Lonchura striata: one gene and its partners. Each later gene encodes a partner of the first gene's protein in a complex. Links are inferred from orthologs where the notes say so. Each region holds a gene or a part of one and is shown on either strand. Other genes may lie near its edges.

Region 1 (9,649 bases):
CCTTGTGCCAAGAGAATTACTGTACAATGTGTCATCACTCGGGAACCTAAAGAATTGTACTTGAGAAAATATTGCTACAAAATATCATTCCCTTCCCAGAAAGGTTCACTTCAGGCTTTGTAGAAAAACAGGACAACTCATTTCCACTGCACATAATTCTTCTGTTGGGAAACTTTCTTAAAGGCATAGGTGGCAGAGCAAGGGGCTGGAAAACTCTTTAATCTCATAGTGACAATGATGGCTCCTGGTTATTGTTGGTGCTCAGCTTTTGCTTTGGGTTTTTGATACTCAGAATTTTATAAACATGGAGTGGGTTAATCCTCTCCACACCCTGAAAAGGGAGAGGGAGAGAGGGAGAAGGAAATGGAAGAAGAAGGGGAAGGGGAGGGAGAGAGGAACAGAAAGGATGGGAAGGAACATGGAAAGGGAACTTTAGCTGCCATAAGAAGCCTCTAGTTAAGACTCTTATGCTAAAAATTTGCTATTCTAATGAAGTGGCATGGGTTATGTCATGTATTAAATGAGAAGTCTTACAGACATGGCGATAGACTGAAGATTACTTTTTTTTCATATGGTGTGTTTTCTTCAGAGAAATTAGGTCACTTCACAGCAAGTAATCAATTTACTGATTTAGGCCCCACCTCTACAACAGTATTGTTTGCTGGGACAACATAATCATGTGTAAGTGTGTGTATTTATTTTTAGAGACTGTATATTAACATCCTCTTTCTTTCTTATTCCTGGTTTGAAAAAGGAGAAGTTGGTTACCCAGAAAAGTACATCCATCACTTCTGGCTATAGGACACTCCTGGCTTCACCTGTGCTTCAGGGGCAGTTCAAGCTTGCTCCTATTTTGCACGTCAAACAAAATGAAAAACAAAAATTAAATTGTCTGAGCCAGTCTTCCCTGAGACAAAATCAGGGTATTTCAGAAGGACTCCTTCTTTAGCAAGTCAGGGGGAGTTGGTGACAAGCAGAGAGCTGCAGAAAGCTCTCTCTTTGAAGAATGAGATCTCTCTTTGGAATGAATACTTTCAGTGCTAGTAATTTAACCTGTATCTTCTGCAGACATAACTGTGTAACCTACCCTATCGTTATAGCACAGAAGAGGCATTTCTGACACAGCACCTGACTTTAAAAACAAATCCCATTAAGGACACCCTCAAATCCCCCTAAGGACAACCCAAATCCCATTAAGGACACTCCCAAGCTGTACCTGCAGGAACACCACCACAAGGACTCAAAATCCCCTGGGCTGGTCCTGGCATCTGAGCCCACCCAAGGCTGCTGCAGGTGTTGGCAGGTCCGGGACCCCTGGGCACCCCTGGCCCCACCTGCCAAGAGGGGAGCGGGAGCAGAGCCCGCAGAAGTGCCAGCAGCAGGGATGGGAATGGGACTTGCCCAGGGACAGCACTGGGGACGCTGCCAACAGCAAGGTCAGGTCCTGGCGCTGGCCTGATCTCTGTCCTTAGGCTCCCTCTAGAGTTTACAGCAAATGAGCAGAAGGTCTCAAATGCCACTTGAACAGGAGGGTAGTGTTTCCTTGCCCCCCTAGGGAGTGCTCTGCTCCTGGTCACTGCTGGATCATGTCCCAGAGCCTTTGTACACTGAAGTGGTTCCTTCCTTCCTGACAGTCTCTGCTGCTGAACCTCACCGGGTCCTAATCCTGCCTAGAAGGAAAGGGCTCCTGTTAAGTGAATATTATATGGTGAATACTTGGGGCCTGCACCCCAAATCTCATGGCAGGCTCACCCCACATCTCCTGAAGGAATCAGCACTTGGTGTAAACCTGGAGAGGCGGGGAAGTAGCTGTGGCTTAGTAATAGCTGAGGTGGGTTAGGAGCAAACCTCCAGATGGGTCATGCAATATCTCTGCTTTTTTCATCCTCGACTCTGGAGGACACATCCTGGTGGAGGAGCTCAGGTATGATTCCCAATTTTCCCCCTATTTGCAAGGGAATATATAAAATCCCAAGCAACCTAGATACTTTGTGTGTGCAGTTTGGATGGGCTTTGCTGGATCACGGGACAGCTTTATGAAGTGTTGGGGAAGGCGGGTGGCCAAAAAGAAGACGGGAGGCTTGCCTAAGCGATTCTGGTGGAAAGAGAAACAGCGAGCAGCTCTGCCAGTGGAAAAACCCAAACAAGAGCGAGGAGAGGGGTAGTGGGAAGAGAGGGGATAGGGTGTACAGAGCCTGTTAGAACAGCCACCCAGACCTTCCTACAAACACTCCTCCCTCCTCCCTGCTTCACTCCTCCAAGTTTCGTGCTGTTGTTTGGTTTCCTTTTTTTCTCTAATGCTCTCCTCCGGTCTTTGACTGGCTGAACCGGCCCCGGAGGGGGCAGAGCCGGCTGTGGAGGCTGGAGCTCTGCGGGAGGCTCAGCCCTGGCCCCCGTCCCCACCCCGCACCGCCTCCCCCGCAGCCCCACTGCTGTACCCCTCTTTAACAAGACGATGGCGCTCTGATCTTTCCACAGCTTCACTCCGGGACTTTCGAGTATATTTTTTCCTGTATTTTTTTTTTCCACGTTTCACTGCTACTACGGGCGGGCGCCTGCCTCTGTCCCGATTTGCTGCAGCCATTGGAGGTGCTGACTGTAAACAAAACACTTTAGATCATGGCAAGGTCGCTGCAGACACAGCGTTCTTTTTTATTTTTTCTTTTTTTTTTTTTTTTCGGTTTTTGTATTTTTTTGTTTGTTTTTGTTTGTTTTTTGTTTTTTGGGTTTTTTTTTTTTTTTCTTTCCTCCTCTGCAGCCGCAGCGATTTAAGGTGGATATCCGAGCTCGCATGGAAGAGGTGGGGGGACGAGCCGCGAGAGCCGAAAGAACGGCGGGAACCAACCCCGATCCCAGAGCACGGCCGCCGATACTCCGGGGATGCGGATGCTCCCGCCACGGGGGAGAGACTCTGACTTTTTTTTTTTTTTTTCCTCCTTAATTTTACCCCCTTTCTTGTTGATTTGTCCCAGCGCGACCCTAACGTTTCCGGCGGCACGGGCTGGGGGTTGTGCTGTCCCCAGAAAGACGCGCAGCTACCGCAGCTTCGGGGGTACACCCTCTCCCCTTTCCCTCTCCCCAGTCCCTCTGACAGCGAGGCAGGGTGATAGAGGAGAAGGGACAGAGGGATAAACCGAGGGGCAGACCATTTCTCATTCATTTTCTCCGTTGCTTCCATCAACGGCTTAAATTATTCGCGCCCCTCTTCTCTCCCCCCGCCCCACCCCCCCCCTCCGCCCCTTTGGATTTAATTATTCGTGCTCAATATACTTGTACATCATCCAGGGACTCAGTTTCAGGCCCTTGTGCTAAAGAAAATATAAACAGAACAACAACAACAACAACAAAACCCAGAAGGTTTTTGTCCTACAGTGACTTTTTTTTTTTTATTATTTTATTTTTTTTTTCCAAAGGCTTCAGATAAATCAGTTCTCTCTGTTGCACTGCTGTCATGTTTCTGCTGCTTTACTCGGGTACAGAGTCTTTTCCACTATTTGGAAACCCATACTCCCCACATTTTTTTTCTTTTTCCTAGTTTGTGTTTATACTCTGGTACAACTGTCATAATCCTACAGTCAAGAGGGCTGCCTTTCCCTTGTGGATTAGGGAGACAAGCAGAGACTCCCAGAGAGTGGAGAATGGGAACCCCTCACCTAAGGAATCTCAGGTGGGACACTCAGTAGGTTACCAGCAGGGAAGCCCCCATCGACAGGATGAGCCCTAGGCATCCTTGGACACTTTCTGCAGATCACTTAGTCACAACTTTCTTGTGTGGATCAACAAAACAAGCTCAGTGTCCCTACACCTGACAGAGAAAATGAAGCTTGAAATGGAGTGTTCTTGCTGTTGACAATGGAAGTCAAAGACAGGAAAACCTAGAGAAATGAAGATGAAATCCTGCAAATACAGCAGATGCAGGCCCACTTTTTTCCAGCTGATGGAGTTTTATCATGGACTTGCAACTTGAAAAATAATCTCAGGTCCTGCAGACATGTGAATATTAGCTATAATTTTTTACAAGTGAATTGCTGAAACTTGTAATTTCTGAGAGCAGTTAAAAACAACTTCCAAGTATTAAAATCCCCAGCATATAAATAAAAATAATGTGGCTAATAATGTATTTCAACCTTGTGGTTTTTAAACTAATCTAATTTGTTTTGTTTTGGTTTTTTTTTTTTTTTTTTTTTTTTTTTTTTTTTTTGCCTGTACACATAATTTTTTTGAACTTGGGTCTGATGGTACTCTGCTGAGTGGTGTGAGCATAAGCTGGAGGCCTGGAGGAGGACTGATGATGGCCAGCAAAGTGCTGGCCTGGGTTTGAGCACCGTGTGAAGTCCACTGTTGTGTCCTCTCTTCAATGTGTCCTCCTGCTGTGTCCTTTCTCCCATGTGTCCTCCTGCTGTGTCCTCTCTCCAGTGTGTAAAATCTCCACATTTTCAAGGCCAAACCTGCTGACTCTCATCTCAACCAGTTAAACCAAATTATATAGACCCCTGCCCTGTTGAGATACTTGTGTATCCCCCTCACCCTCCCACAGTGAAGTTTGGATAGATTTGCTCTGCTTGCAAGAGACATGTCCAGATGGATTGGTGTGAAGAGCCTTCAGGGCCTGCCAAAGATTCAGTCACCAGATCTGGACACCTGGAAATGTCACAACCTTTAGTGCCTGAGAGATCCTGCAGTGTCACACAACACTCTGGGGGCCTTCCCTGACTGGTGAGTGAAGATGGCTGTGGAAAAGGGCTGGAGAAAAGGGGGCCAGAGAGGAGTGCACAATTGCTCTTATGTCCACTACACCTGCTCTTAACTATACGAGGAAATTGCTTAGAAAATCCCTGGCTATGACTTTTTGCTCATCTGATCTTTTGATCACACAAACAGGACAAACCCCAATGCTATATTTTTTTTCTTTCCCTGAGTAGCTGACATCTGAAATCCCGGCAGATGTTATTTTAGAGACATTTCTTAATCTAGTCCTCTCTCTGCCGAGAGGGCAGGAGATGATCGCCTTGACACTAGGAGCCATCAGCCCATCTCCGCAGGCAGTGCGCTCAGGATGCTGCGGATCAGGGTGCTGGTCCCCGCGGCATGCCGTGGGGTGGTCAACCTGCCCACTAGCCCCGAGCTTGCCCCCAGCCCCCGACCTCATCGGGGACGTGTCGCCAGAGCCCAGCCCGGCCAAACCAGCGCGGTGAGCCTCTGCTGTCACTGCTCTGACTCAAAACCAGCCGTCACTATTCCTCAGGCATTCGGGCCAGCAGCGGAATGGGGTGCGTGTTTTTGTGGGGTGGCACAAATCCCGTCGGGTTTTGCGGGCTTTACAGAGGGATAAGAACAGGTTCGACAGTGTCGTCCCACCCCTCTCGTTTTCCCTTCGCTCCCAGCTCTCCCCGTCCCACCTTTAGAGCCGGCGGCGGCGGCGGGGCAGGACCGGGAGGACGGGGCGGTGCCCGCCGCTGTAACCAATGGCTCAGCCGGGCTGTTTAAATAGACTCGTCCTGTCAATCATTTTCTTCTTCGTCAGCCTCCCTTCAATCGCCATATTGGGCAACCAAGAAAAGGGCTCGTCTCTTGTTTTTTTCCGTCTCGCTTTTACTACGCGGCGGCGGTGCGATCGGCAGGGGCATCATCGGCACCAGCGCCATCGCCATCGGCGGTGGGCCGGCACCGGGGGGGCAGCGCTGAGCTCCGCTCCTCACCCGCCCGGGGCTTCCCGGCGGCGGCAGCGGCGGCTCTCGGGGCTCATCCCCGGGCCGGTGCTTATGCAAGGGCGCCTCCTCGCCCCTTCTCCGCGGACCGAAGGCGAGCGGGGCCGAGGCAGGGCCGCAGCGCGGGGCAGCGCGGAGCGGAGGCGCGGAACGGCGTCGCCGGGCGCCGGGAAATAAAGGGCGGCGGAGGCCGCGGAGAGAGAGCAGCGAGAACAACAACCGCCGCCTGGAGCTACAGCGTGCGGGGAGATGTCAAACGTCCGCATTTCTAATGGGAGCCCTACCCTGGAGCGCATGGAGGCCAGGCAGTCGGAGTACCCGAAGCCGTCAGCGTGCCGGAACCTCTTCGGGCCGGTGAACCACGAAGAGCTCAACAGGGAATTTAAGAAACACCTGCAGGAGATGGAGGAGATGTACCAGAGGAAGTGGAATTTCGATTTCCAGAATCACAGGCCGCTGGAAGGCAGGTACGAGTGGCAAGCCGTGGAGAAGGGGAGCTCGCCCGACTTCTACTTCAGACCCCCCCGGCTACGGAAAGCCGTCTGCAAGTCCGCCGGCCGCCAGAGCTTGGATGTAAACGGGAATTGCCAAACCGTGGTTTTTGTCGGTTCTCAGGGAATCTCAGAGGACACTCACTGTGTAGCTCAAAAGACTGATGTTTCAGAAAATCAGACGGACTTAGCAGAGCAGTGCACTGCCCAGAGGAAAAGACCCGCAGCCGATGGTAACGTACCCCACGGCTCTGCCCCGCGTCCCACTCGTGTCAGCGCCGGCGCTCCAGCCCTTCCGCCCCTGCCACGCGTGGCACCGGCTCGGTGTGCCCACCACCCCCGCCCCTTTCCCCCTAAAAAAGCCCGGGTAGTGTTGGCAGTCCCGGGGGTCCCGCCTAGAGTGGGAGCCGGTAGATGATTTGCAAGGACGAGCCCTTAGACGCGGGTCAGATTCCCCAACCCCTCGCTGTTCCACTGCGGGGACCCGGGCTCCTGCCCAGGTGGGAGGAGGTTCACAGCGTTCAGCAAAAGACGAATATGGATTTTAGCCGAAAAGAGGGAACTTGGGTCTCCTGCCTAGGGAGAAGCCCATCTCCCCACCCCCTGTTCGTCTCACGCAGCTGATACCTGACATGGGGATCTGGGAATATTCCCCCTCGGCTCCATCTATCCCCCCCTGGATGCCAAGCAAACATCTGGAAGGAAAATATTTTAATATCTTTCTTCCCCCCCCCCCCCCCCCCCCGACCCCTTCGTTTTTAATTTTCACCTCCTAGATTCCTCTCCTCAAAATAAAAGAGCCAATACAACAGAAGAAGAGGTTTCAGAAGACTCTCCCAGTGCCAATTCAGTGGAGCAAACACCCAAGAAATCAAGCCCGGGAAGACATCAAACGTAAAGCGTTTAGGTCAGTTCCCTTTAGGATTTGGCATTAGGATGCAAGTAAGGGAAAGAAGGAGTGACCGAGTGTCTATCCCGCATCTCTAAAGGGGTGGGGAGGGGGCTTCGAGCCCCTGTGGGCTCGCCGAGGGGTGTTTTCTTCGAGGAAGGGTGGCTTACCCCGAGCACTCGGCAGTGGGTGTGTGTTGGAGGGTGGGGAGTGGGAGGTGCAGGGCTTGAAAAGAACAAAACAAGGAGCGAAGCCCAGCCTGGGTTCGGCAGCGTCAGGGGGCTGGGGCAGGGGCTGCGGTGGTACTGCCCCTGCCTTCCTGCGGGATGGGCACCGGGGCCAAGGAGGGCCCTTTCCCAAGGACCGTGCGGATGCAGGGGTGGAGTTGGAAGCGCGGCTGGTGCATGCTGTCAGATGCCAGCGGATTTCGGGGGACTTCCCCTGTTCCCTGCTCCTGGGGCGTTTTCACCTCCAGTGTCAGCCTTACCGTCGCATGTCGCGGCCACCTCGCACTGCGGGAGAAATAAGTCAAGAAGTTTGGTTTAAGGGGAATCCGGGCACTTTCTCAAAATCCGAGCAATGCAAGGTTGTTGTGTTTGGTATGGGGTTCCCGCCCCCCCCCTCCTCCCCCCCCCCCCCCCCCCCCCCGCCCGTTTTTCTTGTGTTGTTTTGGTTTGGTTTTAGAGGCTGGCAGGGAGAAGGGAGAGAAGGGAGTGGGTTAATGGGAGGCTGGGTTGTGCAGGTTTTTTTTTTTTTTTTTTCTTTCCCCTACCCCCTTTTTGTTTTGAGGCGAGGGCTGGTGCGGGGAGAGTTGGTAAAAGTTGCGCTGGCGGTTTGGGAGCCGAGGTTAGGAATGAGGTTTACAATAAAACGATTTGTGATTGTGCAGAGAGATACTAAGCTGTAAAGCAGAAGTTGCAACAAATTAGTCCCGCTGGGGTGAGCCGTGGCCGAGCGCGGCCGTGCGAATGCCGCCACTCCCGCCCGCTTTTAGGGGTGGGGGCTCGGGAGGGGTCCCTCCGCGTTCCCCGCCGAGGGATGGAGGCTCGGGGCCGCTGGCAGCGGTGCGAGAGCACGGCCGGCGCGGGGGGGCGGCAGGGGCCCCGCCCGGGCCGGGCCCGCCGCCCTGGGGATGCGGTGTCGGTTTGAACCGGTTGCACCGCGGATCGCGTTTCTTGTCGATGTTTTCTAATCGCTTTCCCCGGTCTTTTTATTCTTTTTTTTTTTTTTTTCCTTCATTATTCCCGTTGCAGAACAGAGGATATGCGTCCTCGTTCGTCGGGTGCGGCGGGTGGCGATGAAGAGAGAAAGATGAAGAGTTGTAGTGGGAAAGGAAAAAAATACATATCGCCGATCTTCGGGACATGGAGGTCCTGTACAAGCACTGAAAAAAAACAAAACAAAACAAAAACAACCAGCAACAAAACAACAGCAACAAAAAGCAAACAATAACACTAAATTTTAGGCACTCTTAAAAGACCTGCCTCTAAAAGCATTGGATGTAGCATTGTGCAATTAGGTGTTTCCTTATTTGCTTCATTGTACTACCTGTGTATATAGTTTTTACCTTATGTAGCACATAAAACTTGTTGGGAGGGGGGAGGGACTGGAAGAGGGTGACCGATTGGAACTTGCTTTCACAATCTAGCAAGCCAAGAAATCTATGAAGAGAAGCAGTGTAGGTTTTTTATTACTTGAAGATGTATTGTCCCTTTAAGTGGGTCCATAGTGTTTTTCCTCTCTTTTTTTAAAAATTTGTTTAGTTTTTTTTTTTTTATGTATCATCGTGTTAACTGCTCAGAGCAGGTTATTGTGAAATTTCTTCCTCCAGCATTGAACTGAAGAGGAGGGAGCTGTGATGATTCCGTTATGTAGTAGCAGAAGTTCCTCGCTCTCCCACTCTCCAAATCCATATACCAAAACTGGTAACCTGTAAAAAGTTGTGTAAAATCATCCCACCTGAATACATTTCCTGATTATTTTTTTTACCTAATCTGGAAGGCTTTTGCTCTGAATCTGGAATATTGTTGTTTTCTGATCTGACCCACTTCCTGAGTGTGAGAGAAAAAGGGATACTACATCTTTAAACAGTATTTCTACGTTGCCTGTGTACTTGTATGTAAAAATAAAAAAAAAGTTTGAAGTGTACCTGTGTACATAACTCTGTAAAGACACTGAGAAATTATACTAACTTATTTATGTTAAAAGATTTTTTTTTAATCTAGAAGACAATATTTTTTCCCCATAAAGCCAAAGTGGCATGTTTTTGTGCATTTGTAAATGCTCTATTTGGTAGACTTTTTAGAAGGTTTTTTTTTTTTCTCTTTTCTTTTTTTTTTTTTTCCTCATAATTAATATGGCTGTGCTTAAAAGATTGCAGACTGAGCCAATTTAATTTTTTTTGTAATGTGTGGGGGAAAAAAATCCAGATTGATATTGTTTCACATCAAGCAATCAATAAAGAAAACTGCCATATATAAGAAGTATGGTCTTCATTATTGTGTGTTTCAAAGTCCCTCAGCCTGGCACAGGAGGAAACGACTGCAAGAAATAACAACAGT
Region 2 (9,761 bases), on another chromosome or scaffold:
TAGCTTCTAAAACATTCACAATTTAGCCTCACTTCCATCAGTGCAAATCATTGTGCTACATAATTTGATTACTGCAGAACTAGGAAAAAATATTCTTGGTAATTTCTTGATAAAAATGTCCTGCTTTTATTACCAACATTTTGCTGAGGGGTTCAGCTTCTTTAACCAGTTTCCTTCTCCAGCCTGAACTCAAAAGCAAAGCTGGGATTTGATGAAATACTTCAGTTGTGAAGGGAATATGCTCCAACTATACACAGATTTTAAACAGGAGAGAAAAAGTGATGGCATAGTTTTATTGAGCATTTCAAGCAAAAATGCAGCCAGTCCCCTTTTCCCTATCCTCCTTTTTCCCCAACTCAATATTCTGGGACATTACCTATTAATTTCAAGGCATGATGGTGGTCAGCACTCACACCACAACACCACCAGCTTGTGCCCAAAGATGACCTCTGTGTGTATTTTGGGTTGATGTAGTTGTTGATCAAAACTGAAATTCATACTTTATTTTGATTTTTTTTTTTTTTACTTTAATGCCTCTGAAATGGAATGCACACTCAGAAAGACGATTCCTCTTTTTAATTTTCTTCTCCAAAAAGAGATGTGTTCACAGTCCAAGACTGCAAATCTGAGCAATTTGGTCAATGATATAAACACAAATGAAAATTAGCCAACAAAAGAAATTCACTTGAGTTAAACAGGAGGTTATTATCATACCTTGCACCCTCTTCTGTAACTAAATGGAAAATGAGTCAGGTTAAGAACCAACCAGAGGGGACAAAGCAGCTACTGCTAACACTGAGTAGCGTTCCAGACACAGCAGAAATATAAAATAAATAGGATACAAAGATGCAATTCTAGGATTATGTGTTTCCCCAAAAACATGCTATTCCAGATTCATTTTTAACCAAATCAGACTGCATCTCAAGTAAATAAGAAAATACCAGTTGCCACAAACAGCTCAAAATATGTATAAATATTTCCGAAGATTTCACTAAGACTATAATCTCATCTCTCAAGGTTCTCAATTCTTCACTTCCTTTACTGATTTCTGGAAACAAGTGGACCAGGGTCCCCAAATCTTGTTACCCTGCACCATTATTTATATTTTCACCAATCTAGCATGGTGTTGCAGATTTGAAATGGCAGCACCCCGAGTCCACTCCTTTGGCACACACATAGGAGTGCAAACACACACACACATACACATACACACGAGGCTAAAGATGGTAGAAAGCCATCAATGGCAAAGTGAATTTATTTGATTGTAGTGATTAGTACTACACACTACAGGTTCAATCCTGCTCCCTTTGAAATTGGTGGTATTACTCCCATTGAATTCATGTGCTCTGAAAAATGCCTGAGTTTTGCAAATTTATCATTTTGTCATCTATGCTTCAGGTCAAAACTATAATCCAGTGTTTTAGACTTGGTTCTGAGCCAAAAGATTTTTACTGAAGGTTCATAGAATGCATACTTGTCCTTCAGAGAGGTGCCAATCCACTTTACAACGAAGGAGCAGAGTGGCTGAGTGTCTCAGAATGGTCTGAGGGTTGCAAACATCTTGCAGGTGACCACAGCAACACCCCAGCTCCCAGAGTCTTGCCAACAACAGCACCTCACTTTAACTCAACAGAAAGGATGAGAGACCATCCTTTCTGAGAGCATTTCTGCAGTGGATGTGATCCATACTGATTTACTGACATTTATGGGGCATTACGCCCAAAATCGATACAAAACATCTCCCTGTGTTTTTGTTGCCATTTCTTTTTTGTTTAGTTGTTTTTTAAAGAAAATAATAACATTGTGCTTCAAAACCTTCTGAATAAGCAATTCAACAACACATTTCCAATGGTATTTATTTATGTGGCTTTTGGATGACAAAGAGCGAGTGCCATTTTGGGGAATAGAGAAAATGTTTCTTTATGTTGTAAATAAAATGTAAATGCTCTATGTGGCCAAGATGTGCTTTTTCCTACCTCACATATCCATATCAAACCCCAGTGTCTGTGCTGGCCATTTTCATGCTGGTATATTACCAAAACATACTGTCAGCTGAGCAAAACAGAAACTGTACAAAACCAAAATATTCTTCACTAAAACACTTTCACTTTAAGGATGCTGATGCTTAAATACATTGTTTATTCACCTTGTTACTGTCTGCCAGGCTTCCTCTGGTACCTCTCCCTGCACTGGCTCACTTCTGGCATGGCCTAACAGGAAGTTTTCCTCCATGAAGAAATGAAACCTTGCTCCCTGCTTCTTTTTTCCCCTGCACTTAGGCTTTTTGTGTTTTCTTACCCCCAGGATAAACTTGGGCTGAATTCCATTAGTTCTGGGTCTGGCCCTGCTTTTTTGGTCCCATCAGTAACAGCTCATCATCTTGGGACCCCCCAGCCATCCCTACCTTCCCTCCCACCCAGGCTCATGCCTCTCCCCAGCTTGGTGATGGTTCCCCTACAGAAACCCTCTGTGAGCTTTGCTCCATCAAATTCCTCATTTCACCAGCCCCCCACGGCTGCCCTGGGGTTTTGGGCACCGCAGGTGAATGCCTCCAGGTGGGTTTGGGATGTCTCAGAGAGACCCCACGCCCCCCTTGGGCAGCTGTTCCAGAGCTCTGCCACCCTCCGTGTGTCCCTGCCCTTGAGGTGACAATCCTTGTGCTTTGTGTTTACGGCCACTGCTCCTCATCCCGTTGCTGGGCACCCACTGAAGAGTCTGACACCTTCCTCTCGGCACCCCTTGGAGGTTTTTATAAGCATTGATGAGATGCCCTCGCAGTGTTCCCCAGCTCCCTCAGTCTCTCCTCTCAGGAGAGCTGCTCCACACCTGTCATCGTCTGCCTGACCCGCTCCAGCAGCTCCTTCTCTTCCTTGTCCAGAGGAGTCCGGAGCAGGAGTGGGTTTTTTTCTGGGGTGGGTGTGTGGGGGGGAAGACGTTCTCTTCCGCTGCGCTGCTCTTCGCGACATTACGGCGAGCACCGGCACGCCAGGAATGCGCGCTCCCGCGGCGGGGCCGCGCGGCGCGGCGGCGCGCAGCGGCGGGGGCGGGATGACATCATGAGAAAGTGGCGGCCCGGCCTCGGCGCCGCCGGCAGCGGGCGGGCGCCGCGGGGAGGGGAGCGCCGGGCAGGCAGCGAGCGGGAGCGAGGGAGGGAGAGCGGGCAGGAAGGAAGCGCCGTCGGAAGCCCCCGGGGGCGAGAGTGGCGGAAGCGGCCGCAGCACGCATCCCGCATCCAAGGATGGGCGGCTGGGGAGCGCACCCCGAGGCTCCGGTGCGGGCAAGGCGGCGCGGTCTCGGTGGCTCGGGGACCGCCCGCTGCCGCCGTCGGAGCGAGCGGGGGCGGCCCGGCGGCGGCTCCGGCGCTGCCACCCGCCCCGTCCCCTTTGTGTCGGCGGGACCGGGCGAGCCCCGGCCTAGATCTGCCCGTCCCGCCCGGTAACAGCCCCGCGCCGCCATTGGCTCCCGCGCCGACGCTTCCTGCGGCCGCGCCGCCCCGCGGGGGCTCCCCGGGCCCCGCGCCAGCCCCGCCCGCCGCCGGCACCGCCCGCCCGCCGCGCGGCCCCGCGTCCCGCCGCGCTGCTTTTATGAATGGAGCGGCGGCCGCGTGCTCCGAGCGGGGACAGGCACCTCGGAGAGCCCGCTCCGACCGGCGGCCACCGGCAGGATGGCGAGGCTGCGCCGCGCAGAGAGAGGGACCCGCGTGGCTCGGCGGCGCGGCCGGGAGCAAATGTTCGGAAGGAAAGAGCTGGCACGGTCCAATGGAATGCGGCCGGCTGCCCCAAGGGCTCGCCAAACCAGCTGCTCACCAGAAAGGTGTTGGGGGTGCAGGGTTGTTAATTAAATAGGGTCCCCCCGGATGTGCATCCAATTCCCACCCGACAGCGCGGGGTCGTGCGTGCTTCTTCATTTGATATTAAAACCTTTCCGGCCAGCTAAACTTGTGGAAACAGAAGTGGGCGTCCTGTGCGTGAAGCACAATAGACAGGCGGAGGGACAGGGGACAGCTTCCTCGCTGAGGGACCCTCCGGAGTCTCCCCATGGGCTGTGGCGTGCAAGGGGAACTGAGAGCGCGGGGCCTCCGCCATCCTCCTCCTCCTCCTGACAGACGGAGACAAAATGGAGACAAATGGTCAAGCAAACGAGTAAATGAGAAAATGGGCAGACGGTCCATGCAAAGAGATTACATAAACACACAACTGTGCAACAACATGCCCTGTGATCTTTGGCACTGCTCTCCCTGCAGGTCACGCAGGAGAGATGCTGGGTCCTCCATGGCTAGCCACCATCTGCAGTTTCTGCCGTCAGCGTTGTACCCCGGGCAGGTATTTGACACCCGGGTGATGCCAAAGCATCAAGGCTGAGGTTAATCCGTGCACCCCAATTTACAGCCTTCCTGCTTCTCCCTATGCCACTTTGGGGCAGGACAAGTCACTTCTCCCATGCATCAGCCTCACCTCCAGTGCTCCCCAGTGGGCCTCGAGTTGTGCTGTCAACTCCTGGGAAAGTGAGGCTTTCAGAGATGCCCTTTTTTAACAAACAGTGGGAAGCAGAGCGTCCTCAGGTACAGCAGGCTCGGCCGGGCAGCGGGCGTTATTTATGGTGGGGCCCCTCCACGTGTGGACAGAATGTCCTGTAGACACGGATGAGGCCCCTGCAGGCTCTGGCGGCTGCCAGCACCTCCCTCCCAGCCCACCAGCTCATCTCCCCAGAGGTGCTGGAGGGAGCCCTGGCCTCCATTTTGCTGCTCCGCTGGGATATTTTCCCTGGGTGGAGGTGAACAGTGGGGGTGAGGTGCGAGCGTGGCCTTCCCCGGTGTGCTCTGCCACCGGCTGCACCTCGGATTAGTTCTCGCCCCGTCCCCTGCCATCTCCATGCCCCTCTGGGAAGGCAAAACCTTTAAAGTGAAAGGAAAGACCTTAAAAAAAAAAAAAAAAAAAAAAAAAAAAAAAGAGGTTGTAAAATAACCATCTTGGCAGAGGGGTGGACACCTCAATTGTTTTAAAAAATTTGGTGTGCAGTAAAACCATCCTGGCTGGGAAAATACAGGACTGAGGAAATAGGAGAAAGGCTTTCCCTTGGAATCAGCTACAAAGAGTAGGCATTCAGGTTGGGAGTGCGCCTTTTTAAAGGACAGCGTGGCAGCTACATGCCAGTGACAGCACGATTAATAATTAATAATAATAATAATAATAATAATAATAATAATAATAATGATAGCAAACAGCGAGGCGCTGGTTCTGCTCCACTCCCCTCCCTGGCGCCCCTGTAAAATAATACGAAGTCTCCTTGCATTTCTCTCCCTGGTGTCTGTGTGTGGCCTTAGCCCCATTCATCATTTGGCTCCCAGTGCAAAACTCGCTCCATTTTTAAAATTATGCATGATCCACTGAAGAGACAATTTGGGTTTCCCCCACTTCTCCCTTGCCCTTGAAGAAAGCGAGCCCTTGTCTCATTTGCATTAAAACCCTGCTCTCTATAAGTTAAGCAAAGGGGAAGGACTTGAAGCCTATGGGATGGCTTTAGGGCTCTGCCCCTTGCTTTTGGCTCTCTCTCTCTTTCTCATTCTCTCTCGTGCTTTGATCTCTGCTTAACAACAGTAACGTCACAGGGACTACACCAGGAGAGTTTTGTTGGAAGTTAGAAAGTTTTGCAGCCTCCAGAGGGCTGTAGCGGCAGTAGCAGAAGCAGCATCCAAGGGACTCCTGGAAGGGGAAGAGAGAGAGCGAGCGAGCGAGCGACTGACTCAGTCCTGCTGCAGAGAACTGACTCGAGGCGACGAAGGCAGACATGGAACATCAGCTGCTGTGCTGCGAGGTGGAGACCATCCGACGAGCCTACCTGGATGCCAGCCTCCTCAATGACAGGGTGCTGCAGACAATGCTGAAGGCGGAGGAGACCTGCTCGCCCTCCGTCTCCTACTTCAAGTGCGTGCAGAAAGAAATCTTGCCATATATGCGGAAAATAGTTGCCACTTGGATGCTGGAGGTTTGTATCTTTTCGGGAACTTTTCCTTGCAAGCTCCGGCACCGAAACGAATTAATCCGGGGAGCCGCTGCCCCGTCGCCTGCCCCCACTCCCTTTCCCCGGGGTCGCTTCCCCGGCGCGGCACACGTTGCATGCCCTCGTGGAACGAGGCGGCGGTGGCCGGCTCGGTGTCCCCGCTGCCGCAGCCGGTCCCGGCGCCGAGGGGCGGCGGACGAGCCCTCCCCCCCCACACACCCCGGTGCCCCCGGGAGTCGGGGGGTGCCCGGCAGCCTTTCCGGCCGTCGGGGATCGGCGGTGCCAGCGAGGGGAGCCGGGGCAGGGCCGGCTCGGGGCTGCCCTGGCCCGGCGGGGAGCGGCTCCGGCCCGGCCGCCGATCCCCGGCCGCGCGGGGCCGCCGCCAGCCCCTGCCAGCTCGTGTTTTCTGGGGATTTTATTTTAAATTAATATCCCTGTACACGTATGCAAGCGGCTGCCCGTGCCAGTATTATGCGCCATCTTTGTTCTTTTTATTTGCAAAGAAAAGTGTTTATTAATCGGGAGAAAAACGAAGAAAGTCCCGGGGAGCAGAGCCAAGGGTGTGTGTGTGGCGGGGGGGAGCGGGGGAAGGCGCCGGGGGAGGAAGGTCGGGGGCCGGGGGACCCCGCTGGGGCTGCGGGCAGGGGGACCGGCTGGAGGGGCTCCTGCGCTTCTGGGGGGAGTTGCAGGGTGAAAGTTCCTTTGTTCAACGCGAAGAGAGGCTGGAGCTGCGGTCACCCCTCAAAGGCACGCTTGTGCTGCGGCAGCGATCGGCAAGGTCGCCTGGGAAAAGCCAGTTTGAAAGGGCCTCGTCCCTGGCGGGACACGTCCGAGGGGGCTCCCAGAGGGAGCCCCAGGAGCTGGGCTACATTTTCATGCCTTTTCGGAAGCCCTGGGTGCCCGTGATGTATTTTTAATTAATTTTTGAAACCGCAGCGCCCTGCCTTGCTCTGGGGAAATGTCGCGCCGGGCTGTGCTGCAGGGCGAGAGAGGGAGGCGGTGGATTTCACTTCGGGGGATCCCCCTGTAGCCCCCCAGCAGGACCAGAGCCACGGGCCTCGGTAAAGGACCCCCGCTGCTGCATTTTCAGCCTTTTTTGAGAGCTCGAATTATTTTTTAAATATTTTTAAATATTTTTTGAAAAGATGACGTCTGGGGAAATGAGGCTGGACGCCACCTTTGTGTCTCGACCGGAGAGGGGAATCGGGAGCACAACGGCAAATTAGATGAAAAAATAAAAGCGAAATTAATAAATCCGGGGCCCAGCCCGGATCTGCACCCCGTTACCAACCACGGGGGTTAGCGTTTTCCCCCGATTTCCGTCTTCTTCCCTTTTTAAAAATTTGTTCTTAAGGGCTGGAAAACTGGGCGCAGACCTCTTCTTCGATAACCCCCCTCCCCTTTTGCCATGAATCACCTGCGGGTTTCTAACGCAACATTTCCCCCCACTTTGTCACTCGTGACTTTCATTTTCTTTGATGACGCTACTTTCCCCATATTTATGTATTTTTTTCCCAAATGCGTTTCCCCCTTGTCTCCTTCAACCTTGCCCTGCAAAGCCTGGTGGTGAGGGAGGAGGGAGGGCGAGAGCAGCGGGACAAGCCTGGCTTTCGCCTCAGTTAAATTATTCTTCAACGATCTCTCTCCTTCTTGCAGGTTTGCGAGGAGCAGAAGTGCGAAGAGGAAGTTTTCCCCTTGGCTATGAATTATTTGGACAGATTTTTGTCGTTCGAACCCCTCAAGAAAAGCCGATTGCAATTGCTCGGAGCTACCTGCATGTTTGTGGCTTCAAAAATGAAGGAAACTATTCCTCTCACCGCAGAAAAACTGTGCATTTATACAGATAACTCCATTAGACCCGACGAATTACTGGTAATTTCACGTTCGATCACTTCAGGAATTTAAAAAAAAAAAAAATCGAAATAAATATTAAAATATAGATATACAGAGCTACAGGGAAAGGAAAAAAAAAAAAAAAAACCAAAAAACAAAAACCAAACGGCGCGTTCGGAAGCTGGCGGCAGGCAGGGATGGGGCCGGGATGGGATCGGGAGCAGCACCGGGACCCCCCCGGCCCGCGGCGCTGGGCGGCCCGCGGGCTCCCCCTGCCGGGCCCGGCGGGCGCTGCCCCGGCCCGGTGCCGGCGCGGGGGGACCCGCGCACCCCGCCCCGGCAGCGGGACAGCGCTCTAATCACGCTCCCCCCACTTCTTCCTCTTCTCTCCTTCCCCCTTCCCGTCCCTCTTCTCTTTGCAGCAAATGGAGCTGCTGCTGGTGAATAAGCTGAAATGGAATCTGGCTGCAATGACCCCCCACGATTTCATTGAACATTTTCTTACTAAAATGCCTCTGGCAGAGGACACCAAGCAGATCATCCGTAAACATGCTCAGACTTTTGTGGCTCTGTGCGCTACAGGTATGAGCCCTGCACGTTGCGCAAAGCGCGTTGCTCCCCGACATGCGCCCACCCCCCGGCTTGTAAAGCTTCCCGTAGCTGTTGGTCTCAGGCGCGCTCGCAGAGCTGCGGGGAGGTAGTTTAAGCCCCGATTATTGCCCCTTGTTTGCAGAAGGTGGATTACTTTGCCAGAGGTAAGTTTTTCTTTTCAGAAGATATTTCGCTTCTGAGTCGGAGTTTTGTGTGGTTGTCAGGGAGGGAGAGCGACTGCCCCCCAGCCCTGCTCTCTGTAGCTCAGCGTGGCACGATTTCTTCACCTCCCCACACCGGATTTATGTGGGGGCTGCAAATGGCTTACTGTCCGTGCGGGGAATCCCTCCCCGTGTGGATTCATTCTTTAGGACAAGTGTTTAAAGGCGGAGGGAGATTTTCCCTGTCAATAGCACTGTGTGGGGGTTTTAAACCTTCCCTCTTCAAGTTGCGTCTTCTCCCCCCTCCTCGGTGGCTGGTGGATTGGAGGAGGGCCACGTGGCACAGAGGCTTTTCCTGGCACAGGATCGAGCCGCTGCCATCTGCACCCTCGTGACCACGTGCTGTGCTGGAGCCATGAGCAGGGCTGGCCTCCAAAGACACCAAAAAGCCATGGTGTCCACTCTCCAAAACCTCGGTGGGACATGCCAGTGGCCCGTTAGTGCTGTGTAGCTTGTTTTCCAGATGTTGGATTTGGTATGAAAAGGTTGAAGGAAGATGGCAGGCACTCAGAAGGAACACAAATGAACAAAAATAAAAATAAACAAAAAACCAAAAAAAGACACCCAGAAACAAAAAAAAACAGTTTTATTTCACAGAACTGGTCCTGCTCCAAGGCCTAAAGATAGAACGACCAAGCCATAAAAGAGAAGTTTATAAACACTGGCATTGCTCTTCATCTTGGGCCTAACATCAGCGTGAAGGGCAGCTCATAGGTGAGGTTGCCTGGAGTAATGCTCAGTGCTGGAAGTGCCACAACCTTCAAACCGCTGGCAGCAATATTTTGGGAAAATCCAGTGTGTCCCTCTGTGCCAGGTTCTACCAGATATGAGGCTGCTGTGACTCTGGAGGTGTGATTTGGAGCTAAAAAGAATGGCCACCTGGTCTCCCCTTTGGATGTAGGGATGTTTAACCTGGGTTGTTGTGTTGGCAATGACAGGGATGAAAGCAAGAGTAGTTCAAAGGTTGGAGACTTGCTAAGAGTCCAGTACTTTGATCTACTGTCGGTGTTATGTTTCTTTTAGGAAGCACATCCAGAGCCTTTATTTAACACTGCTACACACCACAGCTGGAGAATGGATCAGTAAATGAGAACCATGTTCTGGGAATTTCACTGA
Region 3 (10,165 bases), on another chromosome or scaffold:
CACACATAAATAACACAGGGAAACAGCCAGTGTCGGCTAACGGATGAGAGCCATGGAATGAGCCCACGTTAGTCTACTTCTCCATGGTTAGGGATTACATTGTTCCTGCCAGCACACACCTAGCAGGCTACCGTGACTTTGGTGGAATACAGTACATTTCAGATAAATGTAACTACCATATGTAAATGTAATTTTAAGAAGCAATTAGATATGCCCCTGACATATAAGACAAGCAGCTGATTTCATTCATATGGTGTAAATTAAAGGTATAAAATTAGATTTTCAGGTTTAAAGTCTTTAAGATTGTAAAGGATAAGCATTCATCAAAGCCTCTCCTCATAACCAGGATTGCTCAGAAAGCTTAGTCCTATTGCTTTAAAAAAAAAAAAAAAAAAAAGGAAATCTAGTGACATAAAAAAAAATATCACCAGATAAAGATCCACCTTTCATCACCTTTTCCCTCACTGTCCTGTGTATTTACAAACTTCAAATTTTGCATCACAGAGATAACACTTACTTATCAGTCTTAAAAACACAACAGGCTATAAATTAAAAAAAGAAAATTATAAAACACAGTCTAAAGATAAAAAAACATATAGTTCATACCTTGGAGCAAGAGTAATGTAAGAGCCATTACTTTCTGCAGGACTGGAGTTAACCGCAAGTTTGCATCGATTATAAATAGTCTAAAAGATAAATTTAAAATGTTTGGAATAGATTTGTTGTCTGATGAGACCAACAGAAAATAAAATTAATTATGAACACAAGGCATTGTCATGTTTAATTTATTAAGATACTACATGAAAGACTTCTTTGGTGTTTCTAAGAGATGGTTTCCTGCAATCACTAGTTTAGAGAAATACCATAAACATTTGATGCAATTAAGCAGGAAGTCCTGCATGTTTCTTACCGTACTGACATCAAGAGGCAGGATGAATACAATCAAGAAGCAGAGATACCAAGCCAATAATGTTGCTATAATCACCAGCCTGTGCTGTTTCTTGAAGTCTCCATACCGGTGAAGTAGGAATAAGGCCAGGAAAAAGACAAACACTATCTCGAGGCCCAGTGCTGCACCACTCATTGTTAAATACTGGCCCCAGCCACACCACTCTCACTTGGGAAAGCAGAGCTGCAAGACAAAATGATATTTAATACCATTAAAATCTCCAGAATATATTTACACAGAAGAGTTGTTCAATGGACACTTTAAAACATTAACTAACTTTTCACACTTCACATGACCAAGATTCTTATCAGAAAAAACCAAAGATTTTCAGCAAGATGCTCTGAAATCCTCTGAGGAAATCAAAACATATCATTCCAATGCTGTCATTTCCAGCAATGTATTAGGACAACTCTTGTTCATCATCTTGATATACAATAGATCCAGGAGGCAAATCTCTGTCCTTAAATAAACTACTAGCCCAACTTTAGGTCCAGGACAAATTTCAAGATTAAATTCTATTCTGCTCTTTTTTCCTCCTTTTAGAAGCAATCAACTAATTTTTTCAAAGGGTTAAATGTTTACATTAAATGTTTCTGGATAGCTAATGAACAACTTTTTTAATGGAGTGTACCTTAAATACATATTTAAAGTCTGTACATAAGCTTTAATAGAGCATAAAAACACAGAAAAGAATGCGTTAGTCTACTTGTAATGCACCTCTTTTAGGTTTGAAATGTCAAGAATTTTGATTCACCTTCCTACTCCTCTCTTTATTCAGAGAAACAATGGTCTCAATTCATTTGGTATAGTTTGCCATTATGTATTTTTGCTTTGCTTGTCCTTCTGTGTTTTAATTACTCTCTTACCATCAGAACTACTGTCAGAAAGTTCATACAGCTTTACACAGCAAAGCTATTACACAAAGGGACAGTGAGCTGCACAAATCCATTACAGAAAATGTCACTGACTTGTTACATTTTTATTTAAATTGCTTCAGACCTCTGTAATGAGCATCATTTTATCACAGCCATTTTATGCGTTATTTAAAAGGTTTATTACTGTGGCCAGTCTTTCTTGTCTCTCCAATGAGATTAACATTTCACTAATTTTATTTAAGTGAAATAGTTTTTGCTATGGCTTTGCTGTTAAGACTTCCAGTACTTCCACTTTTCTTGAGATTTAAAAGGAATGCTATTACTGAAATTCCTCTCTATTTACTTTTATATCTCTTTAGAACTTCGTAAAGTGAACAGTTTCTTTTACTGATTTCTCAGTGAATTGCTTAAGCAGATCTACAATGCTTGAGGGCACTACACAGTGAAAACTCTCTTATGTACACTAAAAAACCTCAGAAGTTTGTTAAGTCATTACTACCTTGATGGACACAGAGGAACAATTATTCTGTGACTTTTTTCTCCCCAGCGAGTTATCTTCCTGTTTCTAGTCAAAGATTCACACACTTTTACTTTCCTGCCTTTTGTCAAACATGTTTATAAAACTATCAACACTTCCATTAAGACAAATCCCCTCCTTACTATCTGTCTGTACTCTACTTTAGTTAGATAATTTGTACATTAAAAACTCAGGATATCTCACCCATTTCTCAATCACTTATTCAAAGCAAGTCCTTGACTGTTCTTTTGCACCATTATTGCTTCCACATAAAAGTCTTTTCAATTTACAGTATAACAGCTAATTTCGCAGAAGCAAAAATAACAAAACAATTACAGCTTCTAAAAGTATCAGCTTCATTAAGGCACTGCCATCTGGCATGCAGTTTTTCGTGCCCATTAGCACCACACCTTTTGCTACGTAAACAAAAAAAATTATACAGCATACACTTCATTAGTCACAAAGTTTTATTACAGTCACACCTAAAAAGCTTCTACCAAAACAAAAGGTAAAATGTTTTTGTGCAAGATGCCGCGCTCAGCTACTATCATGAGTGTACTTCCAGAAGTGTTATAAAAACGTACTGAATGTTCTAAAGTAAAGAGGGAATTGATTCCTACTGCAACTTAACTCACTTTCAAAGACAAAAGTGACTTTGCAGTTGTCAGTAAACTACATCTTTATGTTCTTCTCTGGTTCCCATTTTAATCTCAAAACACAAAAAAGAAAGGCTATTTTTTCAAAAGACCAAGACCAATAACAGAGTTGTTTTGAATTAATATATATACATTTTCAAAGTAACAGTTTAAAATTTTTAGATAGAAACCATTTAAAACCAGCTCTACACACAGAACGATTAAATGGAAGAAAATCCACAAAGTGAGAAATGCAATACTTGAGAAGAGCTCTTCTGGTGAACTGAATGCAATCCAACAGTGCAGATGCAGATACGTCTAGGACCTGTGCTACTAGATCAGGCCTTAAAATACATTACTGCAGGCTATAAAGCCATGCCTTCCTGTGGAAAGCAGCATTTGCCACTGAACCTGGTTGCTAGCTCAAAGAAAGCTAAGCCTCTTACCTATCATCCTGTTTCATCACTTTATTTAGACAGCCATCTCACTATTGGCATACAGCTACGTAGTATCTGCTTGCTGGAATTCCAAAATTGCTAAAACAATGTTGTACTGAAACAACCACTTCAGAAGAGCTCTCTTGTACTGTGGAACCTTCAATGGCTTAGAGGATGCTTCTATTAAAGCAATGACAATGACAAAGTAACAAGAGCCCTCACCATGAATTGAGAAGTACTTATCAGCATACTCAGTTTCTGAAAAAGCAGGCAACTACAAATTAATACAAATAAAATTAAAAGCTGAAACACTGGCACAGGAAGTGTAACTTAAGCAATAAAACATAAGGACATGCTCCTGTGTTAGCTTAGGATTTTCCTGCTTCTTTTTAGACGGACAAAATCAGCAGTTTTTCATTCTACCCAACTACTAACACTGAATGCACCATAAAGGACTCAGTTCAGGCTTAATACACCCTAAATATGAGAGACTCCCTACTATCAACAGTATTAAATTACCCTGCCAACCTAAGAGCAACTGCATTCACGACATCTACATTACAAATGAACTCTGCCTGGTACAGAAAACTCAACCTACTAAATGAAACAGCAGAGAATGAAAACCCCCACACTTTTGAGCTTTAATATAGCACCAAATTTAACAAATCCACTCCAGTATTATATTCTTAAAGAAAGGCTAGAAAGAGTAAAGCATATCTGTTAAGGATTCTGCCAGTCTCCCAGCCTGATGGGAGACTGCGCTCACACAAAGCAGGTGTCAGTAAGGCAGTCAAATGACTACTGCCCAAACACTGCTTTCAGGCAGACTATTTATTAATTTCCAGATTCTAAAAAACACTCGGGTTTTTTGTAAAACCCTCTTTCGATTTCCCATACATTAATAAAAAAGATTTACATGACTCACAAAGGAAAAAGGGGCTGCAAAAAAAGGTGAAATAAACTCAGCTTTTTTTTTTTTTTTTACCCAAAAGTCCACCTCTTTTTCATCTGATTATCTGCTTAAACAATCTTTGAACAACTGTTCCGTGACTTAAGATAAAACCGGAAACGGTGAAAAAATACTTTTTGAAAGATTGTTTGGATCTTAATTTGAGTCACATCATTCTCTCTCTGTATGTGACTGAAAGCTGTGTGCTCTTTGCTACGGGCTCCATTACCACCCTCAATTTTATAGGCACGTCTCTCCATCGCTATGCAGCAAACAAAGGACAGCATCTGCAATCAAGTGGTTGACTAAGAGCAAGGCTGTAGGTGTGTTCAGAATTAGTTCTCCATCCCCACCAATTTCAAAACAAGGAGTTTAGCGTAAAAAACGCAGGAAGAGCTGTATTGCTGAAAGTCCCGCGGTGTGAAAAGACTGCGGGGTCTCTTCAAGGCATGGTGAGGCTCAGGACCAGGTGTTCCCAGAGAAAACCTCTCTCGCTGGAATGCGCCAGCGCTCCCCGGCGTCCCCGCCCGGCGGTGTGCGCACAGGCCTGTGCGGCACAGCACCGAGCTCCAGGGACTCGGAACCAGCACAGCCCCGCCGTACGTGCCCGGGGGGCAACACCCGGCATGCGAGCCTGGAAACCAACGCACCGACCGCCCTCGCCCAGCCGTGCTCCGCGACCATCCTTCCCTCCGCGTCTTTGTCGCCGGGGACGTGCCCGGGGACTGCCGCTCCCCAACCCGGCTCCTGTCCCCGCTCCCGGCCGTGACTCGGCACTGCGGCCCCGCTCCGCCCGGCCCCGCATCCCGCCCGCTGCGTCTCACCACGGCCGAGCAGCCGCTCAGCGTCGCGTCCCCCGCGGGGCTCCACCGCCCACCATCCCGGCCGGCACCCGGCTCAGAGCGCGGCACACGGAGCGGCGGCCGCTCCCGGCTTCTTCCGCGTCGGAGCCGCCGCCATTCGCCGCCCGCTGCCGCCGGCCCGGCACGGCCCCGCCTCCGGGCGGGCACAGGGCTGCGAACTACAGCTCCCGGCAGCCTCTGCGCTCCTGCCCCCGCCGCGGCTTCCGGCCGGCGCCGGGATAGCGCGGTGCTGAAAGGCGCGGGGCGCGCGGCAGGCGCGGACCTCCGAGCGCCATGTACAGGTACGGGGGCGGCGGGACGCGCGCGTGCGAGTTCCGCTGCCGGGCTGCGTGGGAGCCCTCACGGACCCCTCGGGAGGCCTGGCTGCGCGGGGGTGCCTGGGGGGGCCGTGCGTGGGAGCGCCGGGAGCGGGTGCGGGACCCGGGGAGCGCGAAGGAGCTCCTGGGCATGGGAGCCGTGCCGGGATCGCTCGTACGCGTGCGGCCCCGCGGGCTGTCCCCGGCCAGCGGGGGGTCCTGCCCTCGGGATCCCGGCAGCCGCGGGGAGCGCTTCCCCCACCTGCTCGGGCGTCCCGTCCCGGTGCCCGCGCTGCCGTCGCGGCTGCGGGCGGGTTTGGTGGCGCCGGGAGGCTGCCGCGTCCCGCCGCTCCATTGGCTCCGCTCCCCGGTGCCTCGCCCGCCCCATCCGGGAGCGAGGCGCGCTCAGTCCCAGGCGCGCTCTTCCTCAGTCTGCCAGATCGAGCACACGCCTGCGCTGTGGCCTCCGCTCGTGCTTCCAGCGCCCGCAGATATCCCACACTTAATTGCCCTGCATATGGATGTGGAGTACGTGTGACTGAAATGCTTCAAGGATCCCCCTCCTGTGTTTAGTGTCAATCTGGCAGTACTCTCAGAGCCTCTGGGTTTTGCTGTGTCTGCAGAAAGCACCTCCAGGAGATCCCATCCTCTAGCACTAATGTTTCCACCACTTTGGAATGGGACCCCGGCAAGACCTCGGAGCTTCTCTCGGGTATGGGAGTGTCGGCCCTTAAGAAAGACAAGCTGGGCAATGAAAACACACCACAGGACCTGCTGGTGTCATCACCCTGTCTTCCTCCAAAAAGGCAGAAGGTGAAGGACAACGAAAAGGACTTTAAGGACTTTGTTATCGTGCGCCAGCCATGGCTGCTCCGACAGGCAGAGTCAGGTACTGTCACCCTAGTCCAGGTTTTGCTCACCCTTTGGTAGAGATGGAGAGTGAGCATCACGAGTCGGCCCTGCTTTGTTGTTAGTTCTTTTGCTCTTATCCAGCAGAATGTCACTTTCAGATATAGCGGCTTTCAGGCTTGGGGTGATAAATCCTCTTTTATGTGTGCCTTTAAATAGGGGTGGTGTGTCTGGCTCCAGAATTGTGGCCCATGAAAAACAGGGTTCTCTGCTGCCTAACCCCATGAGCACCTTTGTGTTTGTGCTGGGGGATGGTGTTGCATGTCCCTGTGCCTGTTTGCTCTTCTGTATGGGACATAGGTGGCACTTCAGCCCAGCAGGGCTGTGTTTGTGAATCAGTGTTTTAAGGTCGCTCGAAAATCAGTAGCAAAAGTAGGCTTAATATAAAAGCAGAAGTGTGACAAAGTTTGTTGGCAACATTCATTCTAGTTACCAGGTGCTTAAAGAGCACAGAGAAAAAGCAAGCTAAAATCAATCAGTCTAAAACCAAAGTCAATCCAAAAAATACCTGTTTGAAGGCAAGAGGAGAAGGGTAAAAAGAGTGCAGGCTGAGGTGTGCCAGCAGGGCTGTGTGCCAGCTCCTGATGGAAACAAGCAATATGAGGGACCATGCCAGAGGCATAGAACCATATGAGGGAAATCACATCAAAGGGTGGCAGCCTGCTGTGCTGGAAAGGGAAAGAGCAGGGCTCTTGGACTCTTGAAAGGGGCGTTAGAGAATACTAGGTTTCTTTCCTTGGTGTCTAAGTGCGGTTGTACTCTGGATGAGTATGGGATGCAAAATAAATAAGCAGCTCTCTCCAGGCATTATGCTGTCATACAGAAGGTGGAAATGCCTTCAGACAATCCTCTTTTTATATAAGACGCACTGCTGGGTTAAAGGCAGCTGTTACTGAGCTCCACCATTCTCAAATCTCCCATATGAATCATGACACATTCTGGAGCCCAGAGAGAAGCCCTGTGGTTTGAACCACATTGTTTTACATAATTCTTGGAGTGGTGATAGCATGTATGTTTTAGGAAGCAGTGTGTAGTACCTGATTTTGTCTGTGTATCATGCAGAAGCATAACTTACCTTCAGCTCCCTTCTGGGACCCTTGCATGCATAGGAAGAATGATCATTCACAGAGGGGAAAAAAACCCCAGAAAATCATACAAGCATTAGATTACAGAGGCAGTAACTAAGATGCTCTTGTTCCCAAAGTGAGTTATGTGAGTAGTGTCCATGGCTTTACTATGTATACAAAGTGAATATTACAGGAACCTTTCCATTTACCAGTCATGCCTAGGCAAAGATGGTAAAAATGTCATCCTACAATGATAAGCTGCAAGGGAGATGAATAGTGGGGCTGATGTCTGATGTAGGCTGATGTGTGGCCTACAGAGAAACTGTAGAGAGGCTTTTAACAACCAAACCAAGCAAGGCATCTGACCAGAAGGTGAAAATGAACTAGCTTTAACTAGAATGTGTTTTGCTCTTTCCCTACAGGTATTTCTTTGGATGCACTTCCAGATGAATTGCTTCTGGCAATCTTTGCCTGTTTGCCCCTAAAGGATTTACTGAAAGTTTCTACTATTTGCAAGAGATGGCATCGACTTTCGTAAGTATTATTTCTCTTCGTTTAGCACTGAGGAAAATCTTTGTTTTCATATACCATTAAATGGTCTGGTTTTCATCTTATTTATACATATATAATTCAATTTAGGCCATATGTGGGTATGTATATCCAAAAGATGCCTCACATGTTTTAACATTATTGTAGTCTATTAAATAGCTTTCCCTTCTCTGTTTTTGACACCAAAAACTTTCTGTGGTTGTACTCATAGCTTTGACCTGTTACCCATTTGAATTCACTAATGAGTAAAATTCTATGCCCCAGATTTGATGAATCTCTCTGGCAGACTCTTGATTTGACTGGTGGGAATCTGCTGCCAGGACTGCTTGGTCACCTGTTGCCTGCAGGTGTTACTGCGTTCCGCTGCCCAAGATCTTGCATTGGGAATCCGTTGTTTAAAACAAGCAAGTAAGGCTTTTCCTGCATGTTCTGGATCCTGAAACTGTCTCAAGTACTTAGTCTGTGTAGTTTTGGTTTTAAGGTATTAGCAACCATCAGCAGTGTTTGTGCTGTGTCTGGAATGTGGAAGAGTTGATCAGTGATTAGGCGTGTGTTGAAACAGGAGGGTATGCATCCACCTGTCAGTTACTTAGAATCAAGGTGATGTGATTTTTTTTTTAAATATCAAGCATCATAATACCCTTTCAGTTAATATCTTGTAGAGCCCTGAATTCTCATAATCTCCAGCATTTTTACATGGTACACTCAAATCATTTAACTCCAGTAGGATAGACTTTAAGATGTTGCGAGGTATTACGTAGAAATATTTTCTGTAAATTGTGTATGCTTTTAGTGTATGGGATATGTTTGTGATGTGGGGAATTTATGGAGCGGGTTTTAATGCAATTTTAGTAAGCTTTCTTCTTTTTTTTTGTTAGTCTTCTTAAAATTCAGCACCTGGATTTGTCAAACTGCACAGTGTCTGCTGCAGATCTCCACAGTATTCTTTGTCTATGTGAAAAGCTGCAGAACCTCAGCTTGGAGGGTCTAGTGCTTTCTGACAACATCATCAAGTAAGTGACCTGATTGGGAATACTCAGTGAAACCTTCTGTTTGGTGCCATCATTTTGTGCAGGCTAATGAAAGAATGCAGTGGAATGTTGTTCATTGTGGGTGTATTTGAAATGGCCAGTTTTAGGTGGCTATTTAGTTTGGCTTTTTTTCCTCTCAATTCCTCAGAGTAGTAGGAGGTTGGAGAAACTGCTCACCTCTCTATGGTTTATGTATCCCTAAGTTAAACTTCATAGCAGAGCTACTTTAATTTTCGCATTTTTTTGCTCCCAAGAGAACTTCATGTTTGGTGTGCAGGTTCTTTTCTATTCCAAGGGCTCTCAGTACCTCTCCCACCAGGTGCCCATTGTGCTTATGCACTGTTGCTCACTTTTTATGAAGCCCTGGAAGATTACAGATTGTGTCAAGAAGGTGAAATGTTTTTTTGGTTCAGCTGCAAAGACATTAATGGGTGTGTAGTCAACCTTCTGTTCGTCACACCAGGGGGTTGTGGAGGTGCCATGGACCAAAGGTCAGATGACAAAGACCCTGGCTTTCTGATTCCTTCCTCACTCCATAGAGGGGGAACTGGAGGAAAAATAGACCAATATAGTTTGGCTTTTTATACAATCAGTGGTAACAGTTAAAACTGTCAGTAAATTGGGTACTAATCAGGCAGTAATGATGGAATCCTATTGCCTTCTGAACAAATGTGCTATGCACATAAAGACAGTGTCTCCTTGTGGCAGTTCCAGTTGAAAGTAGTTTAGGAAGTCACTTGAACCCCTTTCCTAGACCAGGGTCTAAAATTAGCACTGTGCATGTGGATGAGGATGTTCTCCGGTTGGATCTTGAAAATCTCCAAAGATAAAGCTGGATAACCTGCTAAATTCATTAGTGCTTAATTACTGGAATTTCTAGGTATGAATACAGTAAGTTGGGAGTAGGCATGTTACAGTGTTCCAGGTTTTGCTAACTGCATGCATGCTCTAGTCTTGCAAACAAATGCATTCAGGGGATGCTATTTGGACACGGATTTTGTCTTGGAATAACCTCCATTTTGCAGAGGGGTGACATGAGAAACAGGATCATTGTTTTGTCTTTTGTAGAGCTGTAACCATCTCTTGAT

The links.
Region 2: the proteins of CDKN1B (region 1) and CCND1 are in contact, whole or in part, in a crystal structure (PDB 6P8F), measured with the Homo sapiens proteins. The link is inferred for Lonchura striata from reciprocal best matches to the Homo sapiens genes CDKN1B and CCND1. Residues at the interface, in NP_004055.1 of Homo sapiens: Lys25, Pro26, Ser27, Ala28, Cys29, Arg30, Asn31, Leu32, Phe33, Pro35, Val36, His38, Glu39, Glu40, Leu41, Thr42, Asp44, Leu45, His48, Cys49, Met52; in NP_444284.1 of Homo sapiens: Met56, Ile59, Val60, Trp63, Glu66, Val67, Glu70, Glu92, Lys95, Lys96, Ser97, Arg98, Leu99, Gln100, Leu101, Ile126, Tyr127, Thr128, Asp129, Ser131, Arg133, Glu136, Gln139, Met140, Leu142, Leu143, Asn146, Lys147.
Region 3: the proteins of CDKN1B (region 1) and SKP2 are in contact, whole or in part, in a crystal structure (PDB 2AST), measured with the Homo sapiens proteins. The link is inferred for Lonchura striata from reciprocal best matches to the Homo sapiens genes CDKN1B and SKP2. Residues at the interface, in NP_004055.1 of Homo sapiens: Ala181, Gly182, Ser183, Glu185; in NP_005974.2 of Homo sapiens: Arg294, Asp319, Val321, Arg344, Tyr346, Asp347, Gly369.

Annotation. Positions count from the first base shown.
Region 1 is NC_134607.1:10,524,311-10,533,959, forward strand, and holds CDKN1B (cyclin-dependent kinase inhibitor 1B), read left to right. Parts: upstream 1-5,515; 5' UTR 5,516-5,957; coding exon 5,958-6,432; intron 6,433-6,975; coding exon 6,976-7,097; 3' UTR 7,098-7,106; intron 7,107-8,341; 3' UTR 8,342-9,571; downstream 9,572-9,649. UniProt on the Homo sapiens protein: Important regulator of cell cycle progression. Inhibits the kinase activity of CDK2 bound to cyclin A, but has little inhibitory activity on CDK2 bound to SPDYA. Involved in G1 arrest. Potent inhibitor of cyclin E- and cyclin A-CDK2 complexes.
Region 2 is NC_134608.1:55,236,696-55,246,456, reverse strand, and holds the start of CCND1 (G1/S-specific cyclin-D1), read left to right. Parts: upstream 1-5,599; 5' UTR 5,600-5,787; coding exon 5,788-5,985; intron 5,986-7,656; coding exon 7,657-7,872; intron 7,873-8,255; coding exon 8,256-8,415; intron 8,416-9,761. UniProt on the Homo sapiens protein: Regulatory component of the cyclin D1-CDK4 (DC) complex that phosphorylates and inhibits members of the retinoblastoma (RB) protein family including RB1 and regulates the cell-cycle during G(1)/S transition.
Region 3 is NC_134642.1:37,833,325-37,843,489, reverse strand, and holds the start of SKP2 (S-phase kinase-associated protein 2), read left to right. Parts: upstream 1-5,407; 5' UTR 5,408-5,498; coding exon 5,499-5,506; intron 5,507-5,783; exon of another isoform or gene 5,784-5,891; intron 5,892-6,144; coding exon 6,145-6,410; intron 6,411-7,919; coding exon 7,920-8,031; intron 8,032-8,310; coding exon 8,311-8,454; intron 8,455-8,924; coding exon 8,925-9,059; intron 9,060-10,165. Other genes in the region: G-protein coupled receptor-associated protein LMBRD2, read right to left, coding at 607-686, 911-1,084. UniProt on the Homo sapiens protein: Substrate recognition component of a SCF (SKP1-CUL1-F-box protein) E3 ubiquitin-protein ligase complex which mediates the ubiquitination and subsequent proteasomal degradation of target proteins involved in cell cycle progression, signal transduction and transcription.